Yarrowia lipolytica: one gene and its partner. The protein of the gene in region 1 purifies or fractionates together with the protein of each later gene. This does not show direct contact. Links are inferred from orthologs where the notes say so. Each region holds a gene or a part of one and is shown in the gene's direction. Other genes may lie near its edges.

What was found. The genes of interacting proteins can lie anywhere in the genome.
Region 2: the proteins of YALI1_F35753g (region 1) and YALI1_E08021g purify together in Saccharomyces cerevisiae (affinity purification with mass spectrometry; 3 studies listed by BioGRID). This does not show direct contact. The link is inferred for Yarrowia lipolytica from reciprocal best matches to the Saccharomyces cerevisiae genes NOG2 and AFG2.

What each region holds. Positions count from the first base shown.
Region 1 is NC_090775.1:3,573,149-3,577,463, forward strand, and holds YALI1_F35753g (uncharacterized protein), read left to right. Parts: upstream 1-2,160; coding exon 2,161-3,690; downstream 3,691-4,315. Other genes in the region: YALI1_F35714g (uncharacterized protein), read left to right, coding at 1-10; YALI1_F35746g (uncharacterized protein), read right to left, coding at 173-1,537. UniProt on the Saccharomyces cerevisiae protein: GTPase that associates with pre-60S ribosomal subunits in the nucleolus and is required for their nuclear export and maturation.
Region 2 is NC_090774.1:799,038-804,163, reverse strand, and holds YALI1_E08021g (uncharacterized protein), read left to right. Parts: upstream 1-2,022; coding exon 2,023-4,470; downstream 4,471-5,126. Other genes in the region: YALI1_E08035g (uncharacterized protein), read left to right, coding at 626-1,408; YALI1_E07984g (uncharacterized protein), read right to left, coding at 4,735-5,126. UniProt on the Saccharomyces cerevisiae protein: ATP-dependent chaperone which uses the energy provided by ATP hydrolysis to generate mechanical force to disassemble protein complexes.

The sequences.
Region 1 (4,315 bases):
TGCGGAGTAGGCGTATTATACATATCCATAGGGTCAAAATACATTATAACGACAGCAGTAGAAATGAAAAACAACTATATAAAAGAATAAATTGATCGTGTTACATTTCAGTTGTGAGTGGTATTAACGGTTAATATACATTTAATACATTTTATACAGTTTATAGGTGAATCTACTTCTTTCGCTTAGCATCACCAGAGGGAGCGTCAGAAGCCCGCTTTTTTGTGAGAATGTCGTCAGTAACGTATGTGGTAGTCTCGGGTAGTCGCTTGACAATGTTATCAAGGATTTCCAGCTCTCCTTCAAGCACGATTGACGCCATCTTGTGCTTGTGGGTCTTGTCAGACTTCTCACCGTAGGTCTTTTTCTTGGACTCGACGAGTTCCGTCAGGGACTTGACAGCATCGTCGATGAGGAGACCCTGGTTGGACTTCTTCCACAACTGCTTGACGACCTGCTTTCGCAGGGACTTGTCCTGCTTGAGCTTGGACAACAGAGAGGTGTCCTTGGTGATGAGCTCGAGGAAGGAAATAAAGCACGCGAGATCAAACTCGATCTCGCCGGTCTTCCCGACCACAAAGTACTCGTCCATAATCTCGTACTCTCCCTGCCAGTCCTCTAGAAGATCGGTGGCCTCCTCTATGAGGTCCTTAGAGGCCTTGTTAGCGTAAAAATCGGAGATTTCGTCCATAGAGAACTCGACAATATCAAACTCAGTGCCCTCGTTCTCCACGTATCCGTATCGTCTCAGGAAGTCGCAGTTGGGCAGCTCGCCGTAAGTGTTGTATACCTGCTCACCCTTCTTAATGGGCTGAATAGCAGTCATGGAGAACCCTCCATCGTCTTCAGCAATGAGGTTGGCGTTACAGAAACGAGTGTGGGCGTTAAGGGTGTCAGCCAGGGGAACCATAGCCTTGACAAGACCCTCGTTGTACAGATCGTCATGCTCTATGTCCTCATCGTCCTCCTCGTCCTCAGAAAAGCTATCGGGAGCATCAAAAGAGTAGGCCATAATGAGACCTCCCATTCTGTGGAAAGATTCGAGAGAAGTATCACAGTCCTTGAAGTACTCGGGATGGGCATCAATGATGGGCTTCAGCTTTTCCTGGTAGTCCTCCTCAGCGCCAGCCTTGCCAATCTTCTTGACTATCATGGATCCCTTGAGACCCTCGAGCTCGTCGTCGGTCCACATCATGAGAGAGTCCAGCTGGGTGGGCAGGACGTCAAAGTAGGGCTTCCACTTAGTCATGGAGCCAGCCTTCATCATGTACAGAATCAATTGCAGCCACGAGTTGAGTTTCTTGGCCTCGGGGACCTGTTTGATGAAATCGGGGTCATTCTCAACCGACAGAAACGAGCTTCGGGGGATCTTGAACAGCACCTCATCCTCCTCTATGTCTTCGGATGCAATCACTCCTCGACCTTGGTGGTCAGATCGGTAGTCATGAATAGCGATTTTCGGTGAGATTTCGTACTTGAGATCACCGGCGAGAAAGTCGCTGAATGCTTTGGAGTCGTTTTCGAACGTGTCTGTCATTGTTGAAGGTGTCTGTGTTTTGGTTAATGAGTTTGATTTGATTTTTCAGACAGAAATACTTCTGGGTAAACAAATTAAGCTCTCAAAAATATTTCAGAGTTTGGACTATGTAGAGGGTGGTATTGTTGTAATAATGCTGGCTGGAAAGAAGAGATAAGATAAGAAGCAGTTGGGATCAACTTGCTGGTATTTTAAAGCTATTTTTCATATGTTTATCTCGCTTAGAACTGTACATCTTCTCAATATTCTACAGTTCTCCAAATGTCACACTGCAGCGTCATGCATCAACGGTGTCGACTGATTGTTTGACTATGGAGGTCGAAAAATACGAATAAAAAAACATGTTGAAAAATGTTGTATTTATTTTGGTTATTGGTGGGGTGTAGTTGGTTATCATTCGCTGTTTGTGCTTCATTGATATATATACTCTCTTGAAACTCTGACTTCAGCTCATACTTCTGCTTCACCGCTAGTTCTGATTTCCCCAGGGGGAATCGAACTCACGCCCTCAAGAGAAGACATCTCTAACTTCCCAAATAAGCTCAAAAAAAACTGGATTAGCCTTTGTGCCTATGCAGATATGTAAATTTTTTTGACATCTTCTTCATACACATCTACACACAATGGGAACTGGCAAAAAAGAAGCTACCAGACGAGCCAAGGGCGGCGAGACCGGCAACGGCTTCGGCAACATCCGTGTCAAGGGTGTCAACTTCTATCGAGATGCCAAGAAGGTCAAGAAGCTGAGCATGTACAAGGAGGGCCGAGCCAAGCACAATGCCCGAGGAGAGGAGGTCCAGGCCGCCACTTTCCAGTCCAAGGAAATCCCCAACGCTCGAATCGACCCCAACCGACGGTGGTTCGGCAACACTCGAGTCATTGCCCAAGACGCTCTCAATCACTTCCGAGAGGCCCTAGGCGAGACCAAGCGAGATTCATACCAGGTGCTGCTGCGACAAAACAAGCTGCCCATGTCGTTATTGGAGGAGAACAACAAGATCCCCCAAGTGAAGGTGGTGGAGACCGAGTCATACGCTAACACTTTTGGCCCCAAGGCCCAGCGGAAGAAGCCCCAGCTGGCTGTTGGAGACTTTGCCGAGCTTGCATCTGCTGCCGACGAGAGCCAGCAGGACTTCGAGGCTAAGAAGGAGGAGGACAACTCGTGGAAGGTGGACGGCTGGTCCCAGGAGGCCAAGGAGGCCATTTTCCACAAGGGTCAGTCCAAGCGAATCTGGAATGAGCTGTACAAGGTTATTGACTCCTCAGATGTGGTTATTCATGTGCTTGACGCCCGAGACCCTCTAGGAACCAGGTGTACCTCCGTCGAGCAATACATCAAGAAGGAGGCTCCCCACAAGCATCTCATCTTTGTTCTCAACAAGTGTGATCTTGTGCCCACGTGGGTTGCTGCCGCTTGGGTCAAGCATCTTTCGCAAGACTACCCCACTCTGGCCTTTCACGCCTCCATCACCAACTCTTTCGGTAAGGGTTCTCTGATCCAGCTGCTGCGACAGTACTCGGCTCTGCACCCTGACCGACAACAGATTTCCGTGGGTTTCATCGGATACCCCAACACCGGAAAGTCATCCATCATCAACACTCTGCGAAAGAAGAAGGTCTGCAAGACTGCCCCTATCCCCGGAGAGACAAAGGTGTGGCAGTACATTACTCTGATGAAGCGAATCTTCCTCATTGACTGTCCCGGTATTGTGCCTCCCAGTCAGAAGGACTCCGAGACGGACATTCTTTTCCGAGGTGTCGTGCGAGTCGAGCATGTCTCCTACCCCGAGCAGTACATCCCCGCTCTTCTGGAGCGATGTGAGACCAAGCATCTGGAGCGAACTTACGAGGTGTCCGGCTGGAGTAACGCCACCGAGTTCCTGGAGAAGATTGCACGAAAGCACGGTCGTCTGTTGAAGGGAGGAGAGCCCGACGAGTCTGGAATCGCCAAGCTGATTCTCAACGACTTCAACCGAGGCAAGATCCCTTGGTTCGTGCCCCCTCCTCAGGCCGAGGACATGGAGAACGTCAAGTTCGCCGCTGGAGAGGGCCGACTGGGAGAGATGAAGAAGCGAGAGATCCACGAGGCCCCTGCTGCTACTGAGACTGCCGAGGAGACCAAGGAGGAGGAGTTCAAGGGTTTTGATGATTAATTGGGCTATTTATAGTAATAGAGATGCATGCTTGTTTGAGTGGGAAAGTGTACAGTCTTGTAGTATGGCTAAGTAGTGAGGTGATACAGAGTACAGTATGTACAGTACTTGTACAAATAGTTAATCTACTCGTTTTGTACAATACTTAGAGATATGAATCATTACTTGGTACCATGTGAGGACTTATTCAGCGGCAAGTGTGTTAAATGCGCCCCCTCGTCTTCCCCGTTTGTCGAAGTTCGACTCCTGGTCAGATCAGGCTGAAATATAAGCTGTTTGGACCACCAGTTGTTTCTTACCGGAAGTCTGAATTCTCTGTTCCTCGTGTACAGTATAACCCCGTTTTGCTTGCAGTCGATACAAAGATTATTCTCTTAAAAGATGTTATAATTAAAGTAGTAGTAAGTTGCGCTGGGGGTACATTTTCACAGTTGCGGACATTGTGCAGCAAAATGCGGGGATGAATTGATAACTAGAATGCATCGTTTTAACAGGTATGCAATATCAGCCAATCCAGGTTGGTACACCGCTATTCTGTATTACAGTACCAACATTTCTAGAATCTCTGATATTTGCGAAATCATGAAGATGCTGTTATTACAGTACTTCAAGATTTACTTGACAT
Region 2 (5,126 bases), on another chromosome or scaffold:
TCGCTGCTGGAGTTAAGGGAGGCTGGTCATTAAGTCCTCATTGGGGTTGGAAACCTAACCCTCGCGAGTTGGGAGAAAAACGTGTGGAAAAATTACAAACTCTATTGGTGGAGAAGGGGGTTTAGGGGATTGAAGAAGTGGGTCTTGAAGCGTGGTAGAAGGTTTTAAAGGTGCTATACTCAGTTCTACTCGTTTATTTTATATATTCCTTTTTTTCAAATCTCAAAAATGTTCAATATTGGGCTAGAATGAAAGAATATTTTGAGACCCCCAGACCCTTATTTCGTACTTGAAGTATGCAGGAGTTAGTTGGGTGTTCTGGACTTGATCTCAACAAACGGAATTTTTAAAAGGACTTGGATAGAGGGGAGAATATGTCACATCACACAAACACTACAATAACGGCTTACTTTGAGTATAGAAAATAACTCACTCTATTCAAACTCCCTTAATAGTCACTCAAATCTCTTAGAATACCCTCCCGCTCTTCGTAGACAGCCACTTATAGCCACCCCAATTACACCCCCATCACGTATGGACGTCCTTCACCGTTTACTGTAACCTCCCAACTCAAATTATTTTGTATCACCAAATTCAAGTGGCACCCAGACTTCCATCCACAACAATGCAGTCATTAAAAGGACTTAGGCCGCAGATCTCGCGCGCAAATCCACTCATACACCACAGCTTCTCCCGCTGGACACGATCCAGTCATTATCTAACCTCCGACACTCAGCCCTCATACCGAACTCGACTTTCGCCTCTGTCGCCAATCAAAGAAATCCTCTACTCCGATGTCCACTCGTTGCTGGAACTCAAGATGGTCACAATCGACATCGAATCTGTACGCTACGTTCAGGATTTCATCGGACCCAAATACGAGCTTCCTGAGGCTGTGATCAGAGAGCTTCTGTGCATTTCACATACGCTTACACCTAGCGCTCAAAGAAAGGGCACGCCGTTTCAGACACAAAAGACCCACATTGAAGACACACTGGGATACGGAGCTATCAACTCGCGTGTTCTTTTGGGCCAACATGCATACAAATTTGCTGTTTTCAGCTACCTGACAAAGGTACCCAGTTGGAGTCGAAAGAAGGCCAACCTGATGAACTTTGACATTTGTCGAAGCGGCCTGGCTGACCGACTTACTCGTGACGAGACCCTGGTGCTTGCGTTTGTCAAGAACACGAAACTCATCAAGTCGCTATACGTGCCTCTTCCGGAAGAAAATGCCAACAAGAGACAGGCGTTTAGGAAAATGCATGATACTCACTATGCCACCAAGATGCTGTTTGCGCTAATTGCAAGTATCCATATTGAGCATGGTGGGGTGAAGGCCGAGGAGTTTGTTCATGAAGTGATTTTGGAGGGCTACATGACTTCTGGTTTAATGACTTTGGTTTAAGGCAGTATTGCGTTGAAGATGTCAAAACTCATAGAAACAAACGGCAACGAGCAGGCTGGTAAATCTCCATCTATCCACGGGTTCTTGTTGAGTTGGCCACTAGGACATGTCCCAGACCGAGCCTGAACCGATGGATCTGGGTATGAAACACCTACTTGTAGGGGGACAACAACGATCGGCATGAATGGAACACGACGTGACGGGTAATAGCCACAACAGCAGAAAGGGCTGCACTGTAAATAGACAAATTGTCAATAGTTATTTATATTCAATAAAAACTTGTATACAAAAGGTAGCTCACTGTCGCTATCATTCAAAAGGGCATACCCAAATAAGCTCCATAGCGGTCTATTTATTGACTGGACGTGCAAACAGAGTGTCTTCACAACAACAGTATGTAACTCATCCAGTTTCTTTCAGAAGAGATCGATTGTTTTTATATTAGTAACTAACTAGTGGTTTAAATCACATTACCTTGTTCTCAAACTTTTATCTCTCAAAATATATAAGTAACACGATACAGACGCTCTATCTCGTCCATTTGGAAGCAGATTCGATTTTAGATAGCTTCGATCAATTTTTGAGCTCAAAAATATTCCTATTTGACACCAAAAATGTCTACTATTCAACCTCATCTCTTCCCATATCTATCACTGTCCCACCCCGCCTTCATCAATAAGCTCCCTTTAGCTTGCATAATTTCATGCACAATTTTTAATTTTCTTATCATCATCACCATGGCGCCCAAAAGCTCGTCTACCAGCAAGAAAAAGTCGTCTTCGACCAAGGACGATGGCGAGGTGAAAGAAAAGCCCGTCAAGATCCCCGATCTGTTTATCGTGCGTCCCCAGGGAGAGACCCAAGCCGCCGTGACGCACAACAAGAACATCTACAAGGTTGGATTGCATCCAAAGATTCTCGAGGCTCTGGGTCTCAATAACAACGAGTTTGTGTCTGTGTACCGTGAGGGTGATCGGGGAGTAGGAGGAACCGTTTGCGCCATCCCCGAGGCTGTGGAGGACCCCGATCTTGTCGACATCAACGTGGTTACCGTGAGTGCAGGACTCAAGGACGCAGGAGCTCTCCTGTTTGGAGATCGAGTCAAAGTGGAGAGATATAAGACCAAGATGGACATGGCGAGTTTGGTCAGTGTGCGGATAAACACACCCAATTCCCCTGAACAGGCTGTTATTGATGCTACAACTACCGATCTCAAGAAGCTGGCCATGGTGTCTCCAGGACTCAGTATGGAGGTGAAGATCGAGTCTGGCGAGTACGTGAACGTCACAGTGACAGACGTTGGCGACACAGATCTTGGATCCTTATCACTGGAACAATCTGAGCTCAAGAACCACGTTTCATATTGGTCTCCCTTGTTTCTGCTAGAAGATACACAAGTGGTTGTGTCAACTCGAAACTGCTGGGAGCTACCCAAAACTACTACTTACAAGTCCATCGGCGGCCTGGATCAACACATTGTGGAGCTTAAATCTACCATCGAGCTTCCTCTGCATCATCCCTCTCTGTTTTCGAGGTTTGGCATCTCGCCACCTCGAGGAGTGCTTCTTCATGGACCCCCTGGAACCGGAAAAACTATGCTGCTGCGTGCTGTTGCTCAGGAATCAAATGCACACGTACTCACAATCAACGGGCCATCCATTGTATCCAAATACCTGGGCGAGACCGAGTCGTCCTTACGAGCCATCTTCGAAGAGGCTCGAAAGTACCAGCCAGCTATTGTTTTCATTGACGAGATTGATGCTCTGGTACCTCGACGAGACGGAGACGAGTCTGGACAAGCCGAGTCTCGAGTTGTCGCTACTCTACTCACTCTGATGGACGGTATGTCTCAGTCTGCTTCTGCCAAGATTGTAGTTGTGGGCTCCACTAACCGACCCAACGCCATTGATCCTGCTCTGCGACGAGCTGGCCGGTTTGACAGAGAAGTCGAAATTGGCATTCCCAACGCTGAGGCCCGACTGAGCATTTTGAGCATCCAAATGGCTGATATGCCTCACAATATGTCCGAAGAAGACATCCAGTACATTTCTAGCATTACTCACGGCTATGTCGGAGCCGATCTGAGCGCTCTGTGTCGAGAAGGAGTCATGAACGCCATCAACCGAGGTCTGGAGGAGCATGGCAGTGCTTTGAACGCTGTCAACTCCGGTCTGGAAGTCACCATGCCTGACCTTGAACGAGCTCTGCTGGATGTCAGACCATCTGCCATGCGAGAAATCTTCCTCGAGAAGCCCTCCACCACCTGGAGTGACATTGGAGGCCAGTCTGGAGTCAAGGAGAAGCTCAAGCAGATGGTCGAGTGGCCTCTTACCAAGGCTGATACTATGAAAAACCTCGGAATCACACCCCCTAGAGGTGTTCTTCTGTACGGACCCCCGGGATGTTCCAAGACTCTCATTGCCAAGGCCCTGGCCAACGAGTCTGGTCTCAACTTCCTGTCTGTCAAGGGCCCCGAGCTCTTCAACAAATATGTTGGAGAGAGTGAACGTGCCGTGCGTGAGATTTTCCGAAAGGCTCGTGCTGCTGCCCCTTCCATCATCTTCTTCGATGAAATTGATGCTCTTAGTACTGCTAGAGGACATTCTGAGGCAGGCGCTGGAGGAGAACGAGTGCTCACGTCTCTGCTTACAGAAATGGACGGTATCGAGTCTCTCAACGGAGTCATGGTTCTGGCTGCTACTAACCGACCTGACGTTATTGACTCTGCTCTCATGCGTCCTGGTCGTCTGTCCAGATTGCTGTACGTTGGACCTCCTGACGAGCATGCCCGCCAGCAGATTCTCAAGATCCGAACCAAGAACATGTGCCTGGGCTCCGAGGTGGACCTAGAAGAGATCGCCAAGACAACTGAGGGCATGACCGGTGCCGAAATTGTTGCTCTCTGTGAAGAGGCTGGTCTGTACGCAATGTCTCAGGACGAAGATGCCAAGGAGGTGACCAAGAAGGACTTTGATCATGTTCTCAAGGGAGCTCGAAGAGGAGTGACCGAGGAGATGCTCAAGTATTTTGTTGACTGGGCTGAGGGTAATTCTCCTGCTTAAACATTCGAAAAGGTAAACATAAGGAATTGCACATAGATAAGGATAGAACGAGGTTATAATGACGGTATATAGGGAAGCAATTAATATATGGCATGCTAGACATCAATCGATTACACTTCAGCTTGCATCTTTCACTGTCGGTATGTGTGCTTTTAGTGAATTTCAAATCTATGATTAAATTACATGGCATGGCTATTAACGTATGACTGAAAGTAGTCTCACCAATGTTTCCCCTTCCATCCAAACCCCTTACTGGTTCTGTGATTAACGTCTCACAATGTTGCTCTCGTTTTCAGCACTATTCAACAGAACCAGTGCTCGTCCTCCTGCCACAGCCACCAAATCGCCCTTGGCTCGCACGGCTGCAGCTTCCACGCCAGAAACGAAGTCACAAGCCACCTCAATGGATTTCTCTGTGCCCAGCGAGTAAAATAAAGTCTTCTTGTCGCTCACCACCACGGCAGTGTCGTTACTGACGCAGAACACAGCGCCACTCAGCTGCCGACTGCCATACAGCTCACCCTGCTTGTTGGGCACCGTATGGCCTCCTCCTCCCTGCAAATTGGCACTGGAGTACTTTCGCCACCATCCGCTTCCAAGAACAGTCAACTGGTCGGCGTGGTTTTGTCCCACATTCAGAGCAACAGCCTTGACTG